Linked DNA regions of Rhinolophus ferrumequinum. The protein of the gene in region 2 interacts with the protein of the main gene of each other region in a pairwise test. Links are inferred from orthologs where the notes say so. Each region holds a gene or a part of one and is shown on either strand. Other genes may lie near its edges.

Evidence for each region.
Region 1: the proteins of ERLIN1 (region 2) and AGR3 interact in binary tests that used the Homo sapiens proteins (3 or more experiments, as listed by UniProt). The two-hybrid records come from large-scale screens. The link is inferred for Rhinolophus ferrumequinum from reciprocal best matches to the Homo sapiens genes ERLIN1 and AGR3.

The regions. Positions count from the first base shown.
Region 1 is NC_046303.1:22,234,304-22,244,427, reverse strand, and holds the start of AGR3 (anterior gradient protein 3), read right to left. Parts: upstream 4,263-10,124; 5' UTR 4,004-4,262; intron 1,531-4,003; 5' UTR 1,504-1,530; coding exon 1,395-1,503; intron 1-1,394. UniProt on the Homo sapiens protein: Required for calcium-mediated regulation of ciliary beat frequency and mucociliary clearance in the airway. Might be involved in the regulation of intracellular calcium in tracheal epithelial cells.
Region 2 is NC_046299.1:24,342,050-24,352,285, reverse strand, and holds the start of ERLIN1 (erlin-1), read right to left. Parts: upstream 4,762-10,236; 5' UTR 3,943-4,761; intron 3,671-3,942; 5' UTR 3,660-3,670; coding exon 3,547-3,659; intron 1,787-3,546; coding exon 1,705-1,786; intron 1-1,704. Other genes in the region: CHUK (inhibitor of nuclear factor kappa-B kinase subunit alpha), read right to left, coding at 7,412-7,441, 8,193-8,292. UniProt on the Homo sapiens protein: Component of the ERLIN1/ERLIN2 complex which mediates the endoplasmic reticulum-associated degradation (ERAD) of inositol 1,4,5-trisphosphate receptors (IP3Rs).

The DNA.
Region 1 (10,124 bases), on a different chromosome or scaffold from region 2:
CACCAAAAAGTTTAATAGATGCTTGAAAATGAATGCACAGAATGTTGGGACCTTATGGCCCAGTTGTAGCATGCATTTTAACTCTTTCCTGGAGCGTCTTTAGGGCAATGACTTGTTTAGTCTCTGGCACTTTCAGGCTACAGAGCTCATTGTTTTATAACTATAGTGTTTATATATAGAGAGAGGTAAATTATACTTAGGAAAATATTTCCTTCTTTCATTTTATTTGTTTTGCAAAAACTTACTGGTCATTTTGGTTTATAGTTTCTGTGATTTTAAACTGAACAAGAATTAAGTAACTGGGCTGGACTTGGATGGATAATTGGCTGGCACTCAATCTACCTGTTAAGGAATGAATGAACTTGGAAAGAAAGTCAATATTTTAAAATTTGAAATGATGCTGTAATTGGTCTCCATTTGTTTGCTCCATTCATATCACTGTTTCAAGTAGTGGTTACATGTTTTGCAGTTTGTACTACTAATGTTAAATTAGCTATCTGGAGACAAATGATTTTGTTCCCATGTTGATTACCTGGAAATGTAGGAACCAATTTTAAGGATTTTCTTTATAAATTGTTTCTTTGCAGATGAAGATATATTTGTTTCTTAGGCCCAAGGAAAACAGTAAGTACAGAAATGTTTTCTAAACATGTAGCTAATGATAGATCTAGATCATGGTGTCTAAAACCACTGCAGCTGTTTTCAGGAGCCAATATAGCAAACACTTGGTTAACCAAAACTCTCAGAGGGAGGGATAAAGTATAATTATCTAGGATCCTTGTATAAAATCATTCCAAATTGTTATTTTTTTGCCTGAATAGAGAACAGGGAATTGGAGCAGATTCTGAGGGATATTCATCTCCTTTAGGACATTGTTATGACATATCAATCAATATTATTTTCCAGAACTCTGGTTATTAAAGCTATAGGATAGGAAACCAATTTTCCACTATTTCTGTAAAAGATATAGCAAATTGTTATTGTTTTACAGTTGATTTGGTTCACTTTTTAAAATCAACTGATTCTGCTTTTGTTGTTGCTTTTTTTTGTTTGTTTTGTTTTTTAAAGTTTATTGGGGTGACAATTGTTAGTAAAGTTACATAGATTTCAGGTGTACAATTCTGTATTACATCATCTATAAATCCCATTGTGTGTTCACCACCCAGAGTCAGTTCTCCTTCCATCACCACATATTTGATCCCCTTTACCCTCATCTACCATCCCCCTCCCCCCTTACCCTTCTGTTTTGGTTTGTTTTGCCTATTTTAAAGTGGTAAACAACAAAATATTCCAGTTAATTGAGTTTGCTTTATAAGGAGATTATGGGTAAGAGATGAGGAATTTTAAAATAATCCCAATGACTGAGTTTAGGAAACAAAATGAGATTCCAGTACCTCTCGCGAGTGTCTGAGGAGGCCTCTTTTCTTTTTTGATTGTAATGGAAAGGTTAGAAGAAACTGCGACGAGCAAGAGGCAGAGGGCTGAAGCTGAGTATAACATCATGTGTCCTTGAGAACCCCTCTGGAAAAGCTAGACGACAGAAAATAATTTTCAGAATCTAGAAGGTTACTTCAAGCTGTCATTAAGACATTTGTTACGAGTCAGACAAAAGCTATGCTGACAGGTGGCTCTGCTTGTGTGAGTTGACACAGTATAACCTCCTGGAATGTCATTCGCATTTTATTTTTAAAATATTTTTAAAATGCACCCAACTCAATAAGTGTCCACTTGGTGAAAAGCCGTATTCTGGGCATCGTGGGAGCAGTACAATGAAGCTGAAAGAGAACTGGATTGGGGCACTCAGAACTCATTTCTGAGGGCATTCTAGTGTTCACAGCTCTACCGTGAAACTCAAATAAGATAGGATTTGTTAAAGGTCTTTCATCTCTAAAGAATAATGCAATGGTGACCTCTGGCATGCATAAATATTCTTTTGATTCTTCTTGATCTGATAGATTAAAATAACACTTTAACTCTACGCCAATGTAATAAGATTAGGCATGAACAAATATTGCCTACAATAGATTTCAGAGAAAAAGTGGAAGACGAAGATTCTGTTCCTTGATAGTCTCTTATATTTCTCATCCTTCCACTTGTTACTCAGCCTTTTACCCCTCAGTTTACAATCCCGCTCTTTCTGAAATCAAGTTTATTGTCATATTGTTATAAATATATGTGTAAAAAAGAACAAACCTGCTGTCTGTAGTTCTCCCTTGGTTACTAGAATTCAAATGGCTTTTCAAGTCAATGTACTATCTTAAGATATAATCAAGTCTAGAGTTGGACCTGGCCTTAAACTATTTGATAAATGTTATTTGTAGCATATAAAACCCATGTGAAATAGTTGACATATGCAGTCATGAAATTACCTCGAAATATGAGATAAATGTACAGAAATCATTCACGTTGATTTAAAATTCCTTTAAAACCGTTTTCCTGTTGACTTATATTATTTAGTACTGAACTTCCTACCAAAATAGCGAATTGACTGTTTTGTGATTCTACCCAAACATGACTATTGCTATATGTAACTGTACTAGGCATTGTGGGAGAATTGAAAGATTAATAAGACAAATGTTCCTTACAATAATTTACTGCTTGACACTGGTAATAAGATCCTTATGTAATAGAGCAACGGTAGTTAATGAGGAAGATAACTTGGTGGTGGGAAGGTTTATAGATTCTAGGTTTCTCCAGACACTTCCTCATTCCTCTCATTGTAGTACCTTTCCCTTGCCAATGATGTTTCCCTTCAGTTCCCCTTTGGATTGAAAATGGTTGTCACTCCAGGCTAGCCCTATTTAAATCATTTCCCTTCCTACTCTGCAGTGAACCCCATTTTATATTTCTTTGTGTTCAATTATGGAAAAACTCTGTTAAACAATCACCATGGTGCACGATAACGGCCTCAGTTTAAGTTCTTATAGCTTATTAATACCAGAAAACATTTCAGAATGCCATCTTTTATTTTAAGGACCTGTCATCTTGTACCTTAAAGACTGAAACAAAGAAAGGGTCAAGTTCACTAGGGGATAGAGAGAGCTGACTCGAGCACACAAAGTGCAATGAAGGGAAGGCAAGCTGTGTCAGGTTGAAAGTTGCCATGGAGAAACTGAAGCAACCATCTAGGGCAGGGTCTTAAATCTGGAGGCAGCATCAGAAAGGTTCTTTATGGTAGAGATAGAGATAAGTAGGTGGAATCTACATGGAAAAAGAAAAAGTATAACTTCACCATTTTCCTATTTTAAAGCTGGCAAGCTTTTTTTTTCAAAATTCAAGTTATCATGTACTATTGTCGAAGACTGTTCTAGTTAAAAAAACAATCAAAATACCAATTTTCTATTTTACAGTGTTTGATAAATGGTAAAAATAGATGTTAAATACATCCCATGACAAAGCTGACCAATTTATGTATTGTTAGTTTTGAATAAGCAATGCTTTCCTTAAAGAAACAGAACTTGAACTGCTGAGGGTTCTCTAACACCAAAAGCACAGTTCAGCTGCTTGGGGGGGCACTGATGAATTACATGGTTAACAACCCTGGAGCCGCTTACAGCACACTTAGGAGGCACATAACCAACCGTCTACAATTAGGTGTTATAAACGCTGGCCAATTAGCATTTTCTAACTCTAGTATTTTACTTTTCAAAAGTAATTTGATGTAAGTCATTTACTTAGATATTATAGAAAGATATTCCTTATTTTAAATTATAACAACATTTAAAGGAGAACAGGGAAAAACAATTGTTACTTATAGCATCATTTTTGAAGAGTTTTTTTTTCCAATGCTGGTTTATTATAGTATCATTAATATAAGCAGAGAATAAAAGCATGAAGGCAGCAGAAGAAATCCAGTTCTCTAAAAGAAAAATATCCAAGTCCATTGAATGCTCCTTACACTTTACTGAAAGATCTTACTTTTGAATAGTGACACACGGATTACTTAAATACTGTAGCAGAGTTTGACCACCGATTATATAATCAGGAAATTTTGCTGGCTTACCTGAACTAGCCAGTGCTCTTGCTGGAAGTATATTCTGGATGTTTCTGGTTTAAAATGGGTGTGGATTTATAGACACAAACACACACACACCCCTGACCTACAGCCCCACCTGCATCGAAACAAGAGCAGTCAGTCACCTGCAAACTAAAAAAAGGGGCTTGTCTGAAAAACCCTGTGTTTCATTGCAGTTCTCATGCTTCTCACGCTAAAATAAACTCTTCTCTCTTTCTCTAAGTTAAGATTGAGTGTCCTCAGAAAATGAGGCCAAATACAATCTTTGGGCTTTTTTCTCGTTTACCTTTTACTTCCCAAGGTAATTTAATGTTTGGCGGGAGTTCAACACCAGAAAAAAAAAAGTGGGGAGAAAGGAACTGGTATGAATGTAGGAACTGTGTGTACACCATTGTTCTTGATGAAAGTTCAGTGAGGCTTGCAGATTAGATATAAAGCAAACAGGAATTCCTAAGGGTTACTCTGTTTACAGGAATGCAATTAACAGCTAAAGAGACCAGGTCCTTTTTTCTTCAGAGAGAGAGAGAGAGAGAGAATGCTGTTTTAAAATTCAACATTTTAATAATTTGATTACTCTACAGTCTTAATAAAAACCTTTACCTTACTATACAAAAAAATAGGAAAACAGGCAATTAGATAAGTTTGTTTATATTTATCTAATAGCTATATTTAAATTTTTTTCTAATTAATCCATAATTATGGTAAAACTTTTTCCAAGTATAGAGTTGTACCAAATAAAAAGTAAAATTCTCTTCTCCCTTCACCAGTACTTTTCTTGTGCACCCCACCAAACACACACACACACACACACACACACACACACACACAGAGACACACTTTCACTTCCCAGAATTAATTACTGTTAAAATGATCTAGGAGAGGGTTACCAAATCTGGCCCACCTGTTTTTGTACAACCTGGGAGCTAAGTACTGTTTTTACATTTTAAATGATTGGGAAAAATCAAAAGAAGAATCATATTTTGTGACATGTGAAACATGAAATTCAAATTTCAGTGTAGATAAATAACGATTAGTGGATGGAGTACAGTCATGTTCATTTCCTTATGTATTGTCTATGGTTACTTTTGTACTATAACAGCAAAGTTGAGTACTGTGATGGAAACTGAATAACCTGCAAACCCTAAAATATTTACTATCTGGCCTTTTACAGAATACGTTTGTTCCCTAATCTAGCCTATTGTTCAATAATCTTCCTTCCTTCCTCCCTGCCTTCTTCACTCTTTCCCTTTTCTCCCTCCCTCCCTCCTTCCTCTCTATCAGTCATTTTGTCTAATTACTCAATATATTAACAAATGCATTGTTAAAGGGGGCGGGTGATGGTTGTCTTGCTTCTGACATCAAGGTGAATGTGCTTCTCGTATTGTAACTTCAGACATAGCGCTGGTTTGATTCACTACGTTAAGAAGGGAGACATTTCATAGTCCTATACTACATCTCTTAAAAGCAGGGATGTTGGATTTTGTTCTACAAAGATGGATGTAGGGGTTTTCTAATTTCATATAGTAAATTTATAGTTTTCTTAATTGAACTTTCCTTGTGATCCTGAGAGAAACCCCATGTAGCCAGGTTGTAGTAGTCTCGCACTATACCACTAACTTATTTATTCGTTTAAGCTGTGCTTTCTTTCTTATAAAGGATTCTCAAAGGGAACCTTCCTTGGGACATGCTATTCAGATAGAATTCTTTCTGCTGAAGGTTAAGAAACTTGACTTACAATTTTAATTTCAAACCCAGAATTTCCAAGCAAAGAAACAACTGGGCAGTGATCCTCTTACAGAGGAGAGTGGAAGTGCTTTCTCCTTGTTCTTGACAAGCAGTGGTTTATAGAAAATTCTCAAAATCTTCTGACATCCCTGCTAAACTCCTCACATAATGTATTTTAATAGATAATGAGAAGAGAATGAGAAAGAAGTCAAATGCCTAAGAGGCAGTGAAACTAAGTCCTATGTCTGAGCTGATCAACATGTTTTGTTCCCACCCATTAGTGTAACTATGTAATATATCCTCTAAAACAGGACAACTTTGAGAGTAAAAGGAGGTAACATAATCTATTGGAATTATTTAATTTTTAAAATAAGATTTTGAAATATATTTGTCAGCTCAAACTGGTTTTCTTATATAATGGATCACAAAGAGTACTCTTGAACATTATTCTCAAAAGTTAAAAATTTAAAAAGTACATTCATGCACATTATGTTGAAATTTTAAAAATTATTCTTTGTATATGTTTGTTAATTGGTTTCTTAACCATGCTTGTCTCTGATACTGGGTGGCTGGTATTTTTCTGAAGATTGTTCTGGTATTATTGGTCTTTATTTTTTCAATGGGATCTTATATTTACTCTTTTTATAAAATTGCCTGCAATCACCTTCAAAGTTGTCCTCGTGGTAAATAGTATAGTTGAAATTGTCATCAGCTTCAGTTGGTATGTCTCTGTAAACCATACTATTTTTAATTAAGTTAAAAATTTAATTTTTAAAAATTAATCTTCCTGTAGGTGCTTGGTTACCTGGTAAGCTCGAGAAAATTTATTTCAGTGGAGGATAGTTTCAATTCTACTTTTAATCTTATTTAAAAATTATCTCAAATACTGTTTTTAGTCTCTGTTTAGAGTCCTTTCTTCAGTTTTATAAGGTGAAACATCTATTTTATTTTACTTATTTATTTTTAAATATTTTTTTATTAGTTCCAGGTGCACAAAACAATGTAATAGACATTTATCATTTATATCCCTCACACAGTGACAACCCCCTATCCCCCATGCACTACCCCTCTGACATTGCACACAGCCATTACATTTCCACTGTCTCTATTCTTAATGCTGTACTCCGCTTCCATATATATACATATATATACATATATGTATAATTATAGTTGACATTCATTATTGTTCAGCTTCAGCTTCAGGTGTACAGTGCAGTGATCAGGCATCTACATCATCCCTTAGGTGGTCTCCCTAATGTGACAAGTGTCCATTGGATACCCTACAAAATCTTTACAACATTACTGATTACATTCCCCAAATTGACTTTCGTTTCCCCGTGGCAATTTTGTGGTTACCGACTGTGCTTTCTAATCCCCTCACCTTCCTCCTTATCCCCACCCTCCCTCCCATCTAGCAACCCTCAGTTTTTCCTCTATGTCTCTGAGACTGTTTCTGATTAGTTCATTCATTTATTCTTTTCTTTAGAAACATCTATTTTAAATGTTTTATTAAATTTCCAAGCTACAAAATTGTAGGTCCTTTCTGTTTCATTTGGGAACAGAATAGTAATTTATCCAATTAAATAAAGGCTCTTTAATTAGTCACGATAGTCCACATTTGGCGTTAATTCTTTCAAGACTAGTGACCCATATTTTCATAAGATTAATTGGTTACATAAATCATAAATTGAATTTTAGGTTAGGATTTACCTATCCACTTTGTGTATTTGTGTGTCCATCTGTCTGTTTATGTTTTAGTTTGTCAGTATCTCAGAATACATAAAAAACAAAAACAGTACAAAAAGGTCGACAGTGGAAAATAGATCTCTTTCCCACCCACTTTCCAGTCTATGCATCTTCTAACTGGAGGCAATAATTATCAACTTCTTGAGCCTTCTTCCAGAAATAATTTATTTATATTTAAGCATGTCCCTATCCATTTATTATCTATTTATCTAATTGATTTATCTATCATCTCTGTATATATCTTCCTATTTTTTATTAACACAAATGATGTCATTCTATCAATATTTCTGACCTTCTATTTTCGATAACATTTAATATCCTACTATCTCAGAACTGGTAATTTCATGAAACTAATAAATAAAAGAGAAAGACTATTCTGTAGAGAACATTTAACTGTCTTTATTTGCTAAATCCTGTAGAAGAAAATACTTAAAAAATTTTTGTTTCTAGAAAAAAAGATTCTGTGGATTAAAGGAATAGCTATCTCCAGAATTTGTTATTGAGCAGTGTTATTTTATAACAAACATTTAAAATCATAGTGTTTTTATAAGCCTCTCATGTTGTGTCAGCAACCTATAGATTCTTGCTCCGTCAAGAATAGTTCCATTTCCTATTGCAAAATAACAACTCTTTATTTAAGCATCTCAAGTCTCTTTTTCAGAGTAGTACAACCAAACACTTCGTAAACATGTGCTATTTTTCACAATATGAATGTACTCGGGATTTATTCCTTGCTTCTTGCCCTGTGGGCCACATAAGATTAAATAGAATCATGAATGTAGCTTTCGGATTAGATTCAAGTCTTTCAATTAAGCTCTTCCCTGTAGCCTGTGGGGGTAACATTTTGCTTTTATCCATAAAAATGTCTCTATGCCTTGAATAGGCAGAGCATTTTTCTTTTCATGGAGGGAGATCAGGGACCTAGACTGGCCACTCAGTTTCCCTAGTTACAGTTTGTGGAGAGCCTGTTTTGGAAATTATGGGTGAAATTAAAATGGAGTGTGCAGAGTTGAGAGGCAGCCATAGCAAGTCTGCCTCCAATCCAAAAATAGTTACCAAATGAATGGAGAGCAGTAGAGTAGCTACCAAATGAATGGGAAGAAGAAAGCAGAGCCAGGGAGTAACAGAACAAAGGGAAGGAGAGGAATAGACAGTGGGGTCTGGGGATTCAAGGTCTCTTGGATGATGTGTGGGACAGCCGGCTCCATTTAAAGAGTTGGAGAGAGTGTGGGTGTGGTCTTATCATGAGAGTGGAGAACGAAGAATCTTAAGATGGCAAATATAATGTTTGTAATGACATTTACAACTTTGAATTTAAAGGCTATGGTTTAATCTGTAAAAGCTAAATTATATTCACGAGCTGCAGATGTGAAAGCACCAAGCCACACAATAAATTATGTTTCTAGGGGAATTATATATCTTTGTGTAGGGAATCATTTTGTTTTGATAATTTCAAAACATGTTAATAGAGGAACGTTCCCTGAAAGAGGATCTTCTACTTCACACAGCCGAATGCAATACTTGGTCAGGGTCCTTAGGGAATAAATATTGTACGTACAAATCCTCAATGCAAATCCATGCTTAAAAACATATTCTACAAGTCAACTAAATTGCATATTATAATTTTGTAAATACAGATTGATGTTTTGTGTGCTTGAGGAGTGACCAATACACTAACAGTCCTCAGTCCTGCTAAAGCTCTTCATTTATGTTCCCTCTGTTTTGTTTCAGGTAATACAGGATTTTAATTTCATAGTTTACATTTGCTGTAGGTCCCTTTTAAAGAATTGCTGTACTAAATACCTTTGGTTGCTTACTTATGACTATTTTTCTTTCATACATGCTTCTTTTATGAAAGACAATGATTTCCTTCAGATAGTCCCTTATTTCTGTGCTGTTGTATATTTAGAGGAGGTGGGCCCTATAGCTGGCATCAGAGGGAAATCTTGATGAGTTTATTCCAGTGGTTTTCAACCAGTGGTATTTGGCAATATCTAGAGACATTTTTGATTGTCACAACTGGAGAGGATGCTACTGGTATCTAGTGGGTAGAGGCCAGGGATGATTTTAAACACCCTGCAAAGCACAGGACAGCTCCTGCAGCAAAGCATCATCCAGCCCAAATGTCAATAGTGTTGAGGTTGAAAACTTCTGGTCTATTTTAACCAAGTCATGGTGGTCCCATTCTAAACCAGTGTTGGTGTAAGCATGAACATGTGATATGATTCTGGCCAGTGAAATACGAAGGCAAATGTACGAGAAGTTTTTGTCATGAATAGAAGTCAATAAATGTAAAGATAATGGCCCTTTTCGATTATATATCATGTCTGGATGTAATAGATGGAACTGTGGTAACCACCTTGATGTAATGAGGGTGGTTAAAGAGGACAAAGTTGATGTACTTTAAAGAGACTGATAGGAAGAAGGAAAGAATCTGTGTGTGTGTGTGTGTGTGTGTGTGTGTGTGTGTGTGTGTGTGTACATGTCAGAGTCATTGTTTTAACTGTCCTTGGAATCATCATGACTTAGGACTCGTTCTACAAAAATACCTTTTTTTCTATTGTTTAAGCCAGCTAAGTCAAAATTTTCTGTCACTTTTAGTCAGCAGTATCCTAATTGATAAAATTATTTAGCATTC
Region 2 (10,236 bases):
CCGGCTCCAGCATTTAATTTTTTTTGTAAATGCAAAATTAGTTTACACTGAAATCTTTTTTCTAATTTCATTTCCATTTCTTGTATGATAGTTTACTACAATATATGTATATATACACACACACACTATATGTTGTATTTGTTACATGTGCAATTAAATTCTAAAACCTATTTAATGTTCATCGTTTGTATCTCTCTCATATATAAATCGTTCCGTTAGTATGAATCGACATACTAAGCTCCAGGAAGGAGCTTGGCTCTGAACAGATCTAAAAAGCCTCTAATTTCTAAGGCTCTGATGATGCCATTAATAACATCATTGTAGACTGTTTGAGCTTTTGGTGAGGTCACATAATTAAAACGCTTTCTTTCATGGAGGAATAAATGAAGTCTACAGCAGTTAAGTAATTTTTGCTAAGTCATGTAACTAATTGGTGCCAGAGCCAAACCTAAGTCTCCAGGTTTCCGGCCCCACGTTCACTACACCATACTGCTTCCTAAGAAATCAGCTCAGTTTAACAACTTTCACAAATAGAATGGTCAGGAATATAAGTGGGTTAACAACCCCTACTTCAAGAAGCTTGGAGACTCTCTGAAAAAGACACACAAAACTTAGAGAACAATACAAGACAACATTATTAAGAGAAATAAGACCACGGGACAAAATTTACAATACAGACTTTAAGAGCTATAGATTAGAAGGAGAGGGATTTGCGATGAGCCTTTAGAAGGCTGGCAATTCACAGACAAGAGAGAAGGAAGGAAGGGAGAAATGGGGAGAGAAGAGGTGACAGTATGAACCAAGGCAAGAGTGAATAAAATAAATATAAGAAAACAATACGGAAATCGGTCTGACTAAAGGAAGAACACATTTCATTTCAACAGACACAATTCTTGCCCTAAGCCATCTAAAAGGGAATTGGAAGGAAACCTGGAGAATTTAAGTATTCATAATGAAACTCTAACTTAGTGGGAAGCCTCGACTTAAATTACAAGATAAATACATTAAAATTTGCCTGAGTCTCGAAAAATCAGCAGATAGTAGACAAATTTCTGAATTCAAAGATTTATAATCACACTGAGTGTGCAAGAGTAGTCACAATAAAATCCTGTTTTGTCATCTTATGTCAAGATATATTTAATAAGTATCTCCCATGGCCAAGACACTGTTCTCAATGATCAGACGCTATTTCCAATATTCTGGAATGCTATCAAAATAGAACATTCACTAAGGTTCCACATAATATTGTGCTGAATGTCCCAGACAAAAATGTGAGGCAGAAAAGCTGTGTATTAAAATTCAGATCCACCATGTTAACAGTAGCCCAAGAGCTTGCCTCTATGGAAACCAAACACTGTTCTACACCAAGTGATCACTGATTTGTATTTCTAAGTGTGTTCTAAAGTCCTGATTTTATTTTCACTGCATCAACAGAAAACACCACTATATAGACGGGAGAAATCAGTTCTAGTCAGTTTTTCCAAGCTGCATAGGTATTACTGCTTATATACTTCAAAAAGAGTGAGGTGGCTCAAAATCATAACCTGTGCTGTGACAACTGTACTTTGAACTTTAATTTCTGCATTTAAGTAAATACCACCATCTGCTTAAGCAATAAGGAAATGTATCTCCACCCACAAATGTTGTAACTGTTCCTGTCACACCTGTCTATCCAGTGTGGAGGCTTTCCTAAGAATCACTCACCTGCACAGATCTGAACGTAGTAATGAAAGGCAACATGATATGATAGCCTGGTCCACTGGGGTTAGTTAGTAAAGCTCCTCCCCTGCAAAAAGATGTTTCAATTTGACAAGATTATAGAGAAATGCTCTTTCCAAATCTAAAATGCTGTAATAAATATTCACTCTTACTCATGCTGCTGACCTATTAAAGCTTCACTAATATGAATTACTCACAATGAACAACTGCTGGTCCCTAAAATATCTGCCACAGCTAACAAGGTGAAAGGATCACATTAAGCTGCCGATGTTACAGCTTGTTTCATAAGCTCGACCAACCATACCTCTGGGTCTCCAGCACTGCACTCAGGTAGGAAGGATTCTCCTTGGTCTTTAACCATCTGAGAAGTACTTGTGAAAAAAAATTCTAAGGCTCTTAGTTGCTATACTTTAATTGCACATAACACGAGTTCAAAACATAATACATTTAATCACTATGTTGAAAAAAAAATGACACAAACTTTCAAGGGAGGAGAGAACTTCGAAGGCTCAAGAATCTTTTAATCTACCTACAAGGCAATTAAAATACTGGGGATATAAAGTCTATATAATAAACAACAAAAAATTAGCATAGAAAGATAAAGGGTAAGGGAATACAACTATAAATAGATAGGATGTAAGCGTGGACTTATTTACCAAATGCTGGAATGTGATAACTATGAAAGCACATCTTGGAAATTATAAAAGGGAGGCATTTTGGAGGCAGATATAAAAAAAGTCCTATTTTACATTGTGAAGAATAACTTCATAGAACTTAAGTTTGTATCTTGAAAACAGACACAGGTTTGCAAAAAATCCGTTAACTAATAACTTGAAAAGGATGACCTGTTTTAGGTCCATCCCTAAATTCTTTGAGAGCCATGCATTTTCCTTGGTTTTACTGCCAAGACAAGACGGAAATATGGACTAATCTGTCATTTTTTATGCTAGACCTCCATCTGCTAAGACATATCACTACACTTGTATTTGAAACTAGCGTTTCACAGAGAAGACTGTTTCTAGGACTCAGAATGGATCGAAAAGTAGAAAATACCACTTTGGGAGGATGATGGAAACCAGAAGTGGAAGCCCTTTCAAATACAGCATTAGCACAATTTCTGCAGACTGTCCTCTGTCTATATCAAAAAGAATTGGTGGTACTATGTTGAAGGAAAAGCTATTCGAGCTCAACTAGAGAGCAACACACTCCACACCATTTCTTTCCTCAACCTGAAAAGAAAGGGTAAGGTGGCAGGCGGGTGGTCCATCAATGCTGTGTTTCTCTCTCCAGGTCCAGGGAAGACATACGAGTAAAAACAATTGTCATGGTCATCATTATTTGGCCTTATAAGCCAAAACCAGACACTACGGGCTTTTAAAAGAAAAAAAAAAATCTAAAGAACCATCACAAACGCGACCCAAGCCAAGTTCTAAATTGAATCTAAAGCTGCAAACTGAAAGCCTGCACAGTTGTACGGAATACGACAATTTATCCATTTCATCAGTTACAGGTGGAGTGACCTCTGCCTGCCTGCCTGTCTTTTTTCTACAAATGATTGCACTTACTGTCTACCAGGAATAACTGGAGGGACTCTTAACCTTGGCACCAAATGGACATAGTACTAAAGCTGTCCACCACCCGGAGGGGGCTCTGCAAAAGCCTTCCTTTCCCCCCCATACTCTCCCTAGGGCTGGGACGAAAATCACTTTCTAGGACTGGAGAAGGCTCTCCGGACGCTACAGAGGAAACAACTTCTTAGATGCTCCTCTCCCGGGAGTCCCCTTTCTACCTGCCGGAGAAGCTGAGCGGGCTGCACACGCTGCTCACCTGTAGTACACAGCCAGGTGTCCTTCCTCGATCTTGTGGATGGAGGCGTAGAGGAGGACAACCACCAGACCCACCACTGCAGCCACCAGAACCCGGGCTTGAGTCATATTCATGCTTGTTCCTCCTGAATGAAGGAGGAAAGGACCCCAAGGCCCGTGAGCGACAAGCCTACCCCCTCGTTTCCACCCTCTACATCCGGACAACTGGCTCCCTCCCGCAGGCCGAGCCGGGAGTCCTGTGCCTCTTTTCCCTCATTCTTTCCTCCTCGCAGAACCCGTTCTCTCCTCGCCAACCTCTCCGCCGGAGGCGGCCCGCAGGCCGCCCCTGCTCAGTAATCGTCGTGACACCCCCAGCTCCCAGTGGCCGCTCCCCCGCCCCCCCGCAGAATGCACTAACTGAGAAGGGGGCCAGGGGCAGAGTTCGAAGGCAATCCGACCCCTCCGCGGCGCCTCACCGATCAGTGACGCATCGCCCCCGCCCGCACGTGCAGCCGCCTCCCCGGCCACGCCAACCGCCGCCAACAGCCGGCCCCGCCCACTCGCCCAGCCCTGCGGCTGCGCAGGCACGCACGCCGACGCAGTGCTCGCCCTGCCACCAGAGACGGGGAGCGGACGGGACAAAATTCTCCCGGCTGCCCTCCGCGCAATTTCCCTTGAAGGTACGGAGGCTCTGTTTTGTGCACTGCTGGTTTCCTGCTCCAGAAGAGAAGTCGGGAATCTGGAATAAGGGATGCAGAGAAAGCAGAGGGCCTCTTGTTCTTTTGCAGAGACCCGCCCCTACACTCAGTGTGGTAGCTGTTCCGTTTTATGACCTTTTGTGGTTTATACCGAACTCTATGTGGCAAGCATGTGCTTCAGGGACAGATCCTGCACTGAATTCAGGAGCAACCAGACTTACTGCCAAGTAAGGTGGAAGTTCAGAAGAGGAAGATACTCAATCTAACCGCATATTCACTCATCAAGTATTTTTCTGAGCACTTATTATGCCAGAGTGATGATCCAAAGAGGGCTTTATGAAGGCCATCCAAGCAATAGGAACAGCGTCCTCCAGGAAAACACTACAACAGTGAGCATTTGAGCTTCCTTGAAGCCAGTATGATGGAAAGTAGGATGGTAGGCTAGGCTAGGCTCAGATTTTGAAAGACTCAAATGCACTTTTTTCTTCAGGGAGCGGGTACTGGATGGCTACAGAATTTTTCACTGCATATTCTTCTTTTCTTTTACAATATCCATTATGTGCATGTTACCCAAAACAAAAAGGACAAAGTTAAAGAGTAGAGATGGGAGTGAGATGGATAAATACAAGGGAAATAAGTGCAGCATATTAGAGTAGGTTGGGCAAGAATGGTTCCTGTAAGCCTTGGAAGGCTAGCAGTGGGAGCACAACTGGACAAGTAGGCTAAGATTTAAGGACTCTGTAACGTCTTGGGCAGGGAAGTATGGGAAAGCAGTGCTTTAGGGCCAGTGAGTCTGCAAAATGGCTTAGAGGAGAGACACAGACTGGAGGCAGGGAAGCAAAGTGGTTAGACAATTGCGGGCCCAAAGTTACAATGGCAGTAACTGGAAACAGGAAGGGGTAAATAGAATCAATTCTTCATGAAAGCAAGCCCTCCCAGACCACTTTACCCTCTCCCCTCAATAAGTGCATTTACCTGTATCATTCATTTGACTCTTACTACCTAGGAATGTCCAGGACCTTGTTGGTTCCAGATAGGTGGTATCTGCAGAGCTTAGCTTTTTTAACTAACGAAAAGCAAAAAGAATGAAAAATAACTTGTTCCAGTCTCTGTTTTCTCTTTGCAGAACTGTTTCACGCACTCTCTTGATTTCTAGTCTGAGAGGGGCAAGGAACCCCTCCCTGTGCCAGTAACAGTATCAGATGACTAAAAAGTTAGAAGACAACCCAAGGTTTCAAACTTAGATGACTGGGAAAATGACACTACTAGAAAAAATAGGGATGGTGTGTCTAAATTTATAGGGCAAGATATGAGCATGGTTTTTAGACATGAATAGTGGTGACAGGACATCTCAGGTGAAAGCACTATATTAAAGCAGCTACCCAATATGGTCTTTACTATACATCCTGTATAATTCCATACAGGAAAATACAGTAAGAGCCTATTACGTTATCCTCTGCTCCAGTTCCAATTCATGGAAACTTGAAATTTTCCCAAATCATATTCAACTACAGTTGACCCTTGAACAACACACGTTTGAACTGTGTGGATCCACTTACATGCACTTTTGTTTTCAATAAATACAGTTAACCCTTCTTATTTGTGGGTTTCGTGTCTGCAAATTCCATGGATCAAAAATGGTATTTTCGCATTCCCAACCTCGGTTGGATGAATCCACAGATGCGAGGCGCCAACTGTAAAGTCACAAGTTCCATGTGGATTTTCTGCTGCGTGAGACTTGATGCCCCTAACCCCACTCATTGTTCAAGGGTCACCTGTATTCATCTGATTTTAATGAATAGAGTCAAAAAGTAATTTAAAAATCATTTAATACACAAAGTGAAAAACTATAATACAAAAGCATTTCACATTTTTTTAAAAAAACAGTATCTTCTAAATTACTTAACAGATGATAGATCCACAATCCTTAATCTGAAATTGTTAGGGCCAAATGTTTCAGAATTAGAAATTTTCAGATTTTAGAAACATAATTCAGTGCATATGCCATATTACATAAACCTCCAGCAGGGTCTGTGGCAGCACCCTTCCCCCCGCCGAATAATCAAACATGTTAATATTTCCACAGCAAAATAAATGAATATTCACACTAAATGGGATAAGTATGTTCAGTGTTACTTCATGTTAATTTGCGAGTTTTGTCATCACGCTTCTGAAAAACCTTGTTTTCAAAGCTTTCTGGAATCACAGATAAGGGCATGCAGACCTTTATAAATTTGTACAAGACATGAAAGATTCCTGAAACAAATGACCCATTTTTACAAATGAAAAAAAATAAGCTTTCAAATACATTATAAATTAACAGGCATCTCTTTGATATTACTAAATGTACATCTTAAATACATATACACATAGAACACTTAAGATTTATCAGTCAATTGGTATTGAAGGCACAGATACACAATCCCTCCTATAGGAAAGGAATACTGTCAAATGTGCAGTAAAATGGAAAATGGGATTGACCCAACTCCTTATGATGCCAGGAAGAGCACTGCTGAGTGCAACACAAGGAGGTAGGGGTATTCTTCAAGAAGTGCAATTTGACTTGTGAGCAGTCTCTTCCACAGAAACACAGGTAGACAACTTTTACTTAGAACATATATTGAGGTTTCTTCTCTGTATATACAGAGGGTGCCAAAAAAAGTGTATGTACATTTTAGGAAAGGAAAAAACTATTAAAATTGTAATACTCAACATACACCGTTAACAAAAAATGAATACAAGTCACCTTTGACTTCTGCAATTACAAGAGGTGCTCAAAGTAGTTACCATCAGTGTCCAGACACTTTTGATTATGGCGAACTACTGATTGAGCAATGGTGACCAAAGTGTCCACTTGTATACATTTTTTGGCACCCCCGGTATTACTTTTGGCCTAATGCCCAAAAGTTAAGTGTTAAAAGATATTTTTAAACAGTTATGTTTTACGAAGTTTAAAGACAAATGGATTGCAATGATAGCTAAGTAGCTGTAGTATTTAAACAAATTCTGTCAGTTCAGGGGTTATGATTACCAAAAGTCAAAATATTGCTCTTGTAAAATCGTGTAGTTTTTTTATCACAGCCATTTCTTCCATTGAATGGTATCTGAAGAAGGGTCTCATGGGAGAAAAACAAATTTCCAACACGTGCAACAACTTCCAAAGGTTTGGGACAGTGAATAAGTGGCAAGTCATTCTGTTAACCAACTCCAATCAAGATTCTAAAACCAGGCATGAAAAAGTTACAATTAGATGTTGACTATAAGTGGTAGATTTATGGGTTCATTTTTACAGATTTTCTGTATGTTTGGGCATTTTATAATCAAAAGTTGAAAAATCAAAACTATAAATAGGTTACAATTAGTGTTGTTTACTATATTTTCTGCTAATTCAAAACATACTTCAAAGTTTTCATAAATATTTGAAGCAAATAATTAATAAAAGAAGAAATATACAGAGTTGACATCAAGACTAAATAATAGTAGGTTAGTTCAGTCAACACTTTATTGTAGTTTCTCCAAGTTTTAACAAATGAGTGATTCATAGTAGTAACTAAATCTTCTTAATATAAAAACTATTAATTACAACTATAGTAACAGTATTCATTTTGTATACAGCAATTACTGTATCTGAATTATAATATAAATCCTGTCCCATCTTATTGGAGAAAATTGATTGCTGAAACAAAAAGATACAAACCATTCAATCTCAATGGTCACATTGCAAAGAAAGCTCACATTCATTAAATTAAATCAAATTTGACCAAAAATGCTACTGTTGAAGATTACTGATAAGATGATACAATCCTAGTACAACCATAAATAAGAGAAGATGGGGATTTGAGGTCAAGGATATTCCTTGAATGCTCTTTTTCTTTCCTCTGAGAAATGCAAGGTAAAACTAGCATGGAAAGTTAAACCCTTTGCACCCAACATACCTAAAACACATATCCACATCCATATAAAAACTCACCATCATTCTACTGCTCTGTTCCTCATTTGCTTTATGAATAATAGTGCTTAAATGGCCAAGACAGTTCAAATTTTCTTCTATCATTTGTGCCAAAGTCTCCCTGTGGGATGAAAAAACAAAGTCTTTTCAAATTCAGCAAAGGGGCATATGAATTTCCTCTATTTTTTGGTCTTCAGGGTCAGGATGATCAAAGCCTTTCCTGCAACCCAGCACCCCCAATGCAGCTGATTCCTGTAGTCTCCAGTTTCCTCATCCTTCCCACTCACAGGCACTCAGAGGCACAGTCCTGCTTGTTACGCCAAGTGTTGCCTCTGCCCAGCTCTAATGATAAGAAGTCCACTATTACTCCAATCTGATTTTTGTCTGAAATATAAGTGGCACTTATATACAACTCCCCCCTCCACAACCTCCGAAAATGCTAACTGGGGGGAAAAAAGATCCTTATTGCACAGACAGATGAAAGATCTCATTTTGTTTCTGGAGTATATCCTTTTCCTTACAAGTAGTAAAAACAGCATGCTTATTTCAGAGAAACAAATGCAAGGGAGAACATACAAAAGTACAATCTGTTCTGCAAAGATCAGGGAAGGTGGACTGATTGGAAACTACAGGTGACAGCAATGAAAAAGGAAACAAGCAAGCTGATTTCTGAGGACAGCAAAAGAAAACAGCGTGACAGGGAAGCTGCCCAGAACCAAGAAGTATCCCTGGAAGTTTGTATTGGAAGGAAATCCTGATTCTGGTTTTCTCCTTCCATGCTTTCCTTTTCCCTAGAGCCCCTCTCCTCACCTTTTACTAACCGTCAGAGTCCCTACCTACTAGAATCAGTTGTAGGCTATGGATGATAGCCACTATTAGCTTAGAACTAAACTCTAATTCAGCTCTTATTCAACAGATGGCAAAATTAAGGCCAATAGTTCCCGATCCATGGTGATTAAGTACCACTGGTACATACTAATTGAAATCAGTTTTCCTTTATAATATATTCCTACTGGAAAGTATATTTAAAATTCCTTTCCAATATACTTACGCGAACCACAACATCAAATTGGAAATTCCCTGTATAGAGGTGACATTTGCAACCATTAGCATCCCCTAACAAACCTAAAAGTCTTTAATGAAAACAAAAGTGTTAGTAATGTATTCAATTTTATTTAACTCTGATTAATGGAGTATTTCCTGAAGTCTATAATAATTAATTACAGCCTGTGCTGTAGCTGTGGCTGTATTACATTGGGCCAAGTTTATAATGACCCCTGGAACTTGCTTTCTTTAAAAAAATAAAATACCTGATATCAGTTTGCCTTCCTGCCATGTACTTTTCTCTCATAAAAGTAGAGGACAGAATATGCAACCGCATGACCTCCTGAGCAGTGATGGAACATGGCTACACATCTGCAAAACTAATTATGGGCAGAGCTTCCAGGGAAATGCTGCTGCTGTAGAAGTCTCCGGGAGTTGTGAGAAAAGCAACAATACACAAGCTAGCAAAGAGCCACCTGCTCTGGCTGTGGCACATCTAATGCTGAGAAAAATAACAGATGGATAGTCATTCAGCTTTTAGCAGAAGAGTTAGTGATTAATAAAAGACTTCAAACTTCAGTTCCTATTAGCAAAACTGATTTAAGGCACTGAAAAAAGTTTGATATTAGAAATACTAAGTTATAAAATAGAGTAGATTCAACTCAGCAATTCATTAGAGAGATGATCAAGGTCCCCAAAATGATAAATGCAAAAAGATAGCATGATTTCTCAGTGACAAATGGTTAAGGAAGGAATAAAGTTTGGGTAAAAGAATTGATAAACCAATAACAGAGAGAGAACTTAGAACTTGGATTGAGCTAATAATGATTAACATCTGCTGAATATTTATTTCCCAACACTTTACATACATCATCTAATCCAATGTTCACAACAGGTCCAATTGTACAGGTGAGGATATATGAACAGTAAAAGAGTCAAATTAATTGCACAAGGTTATTACAAAGGGACAGTCAGGACTCAACCCTGCTCTAAATGGCACTGAAGACTATGCTTCAACCAC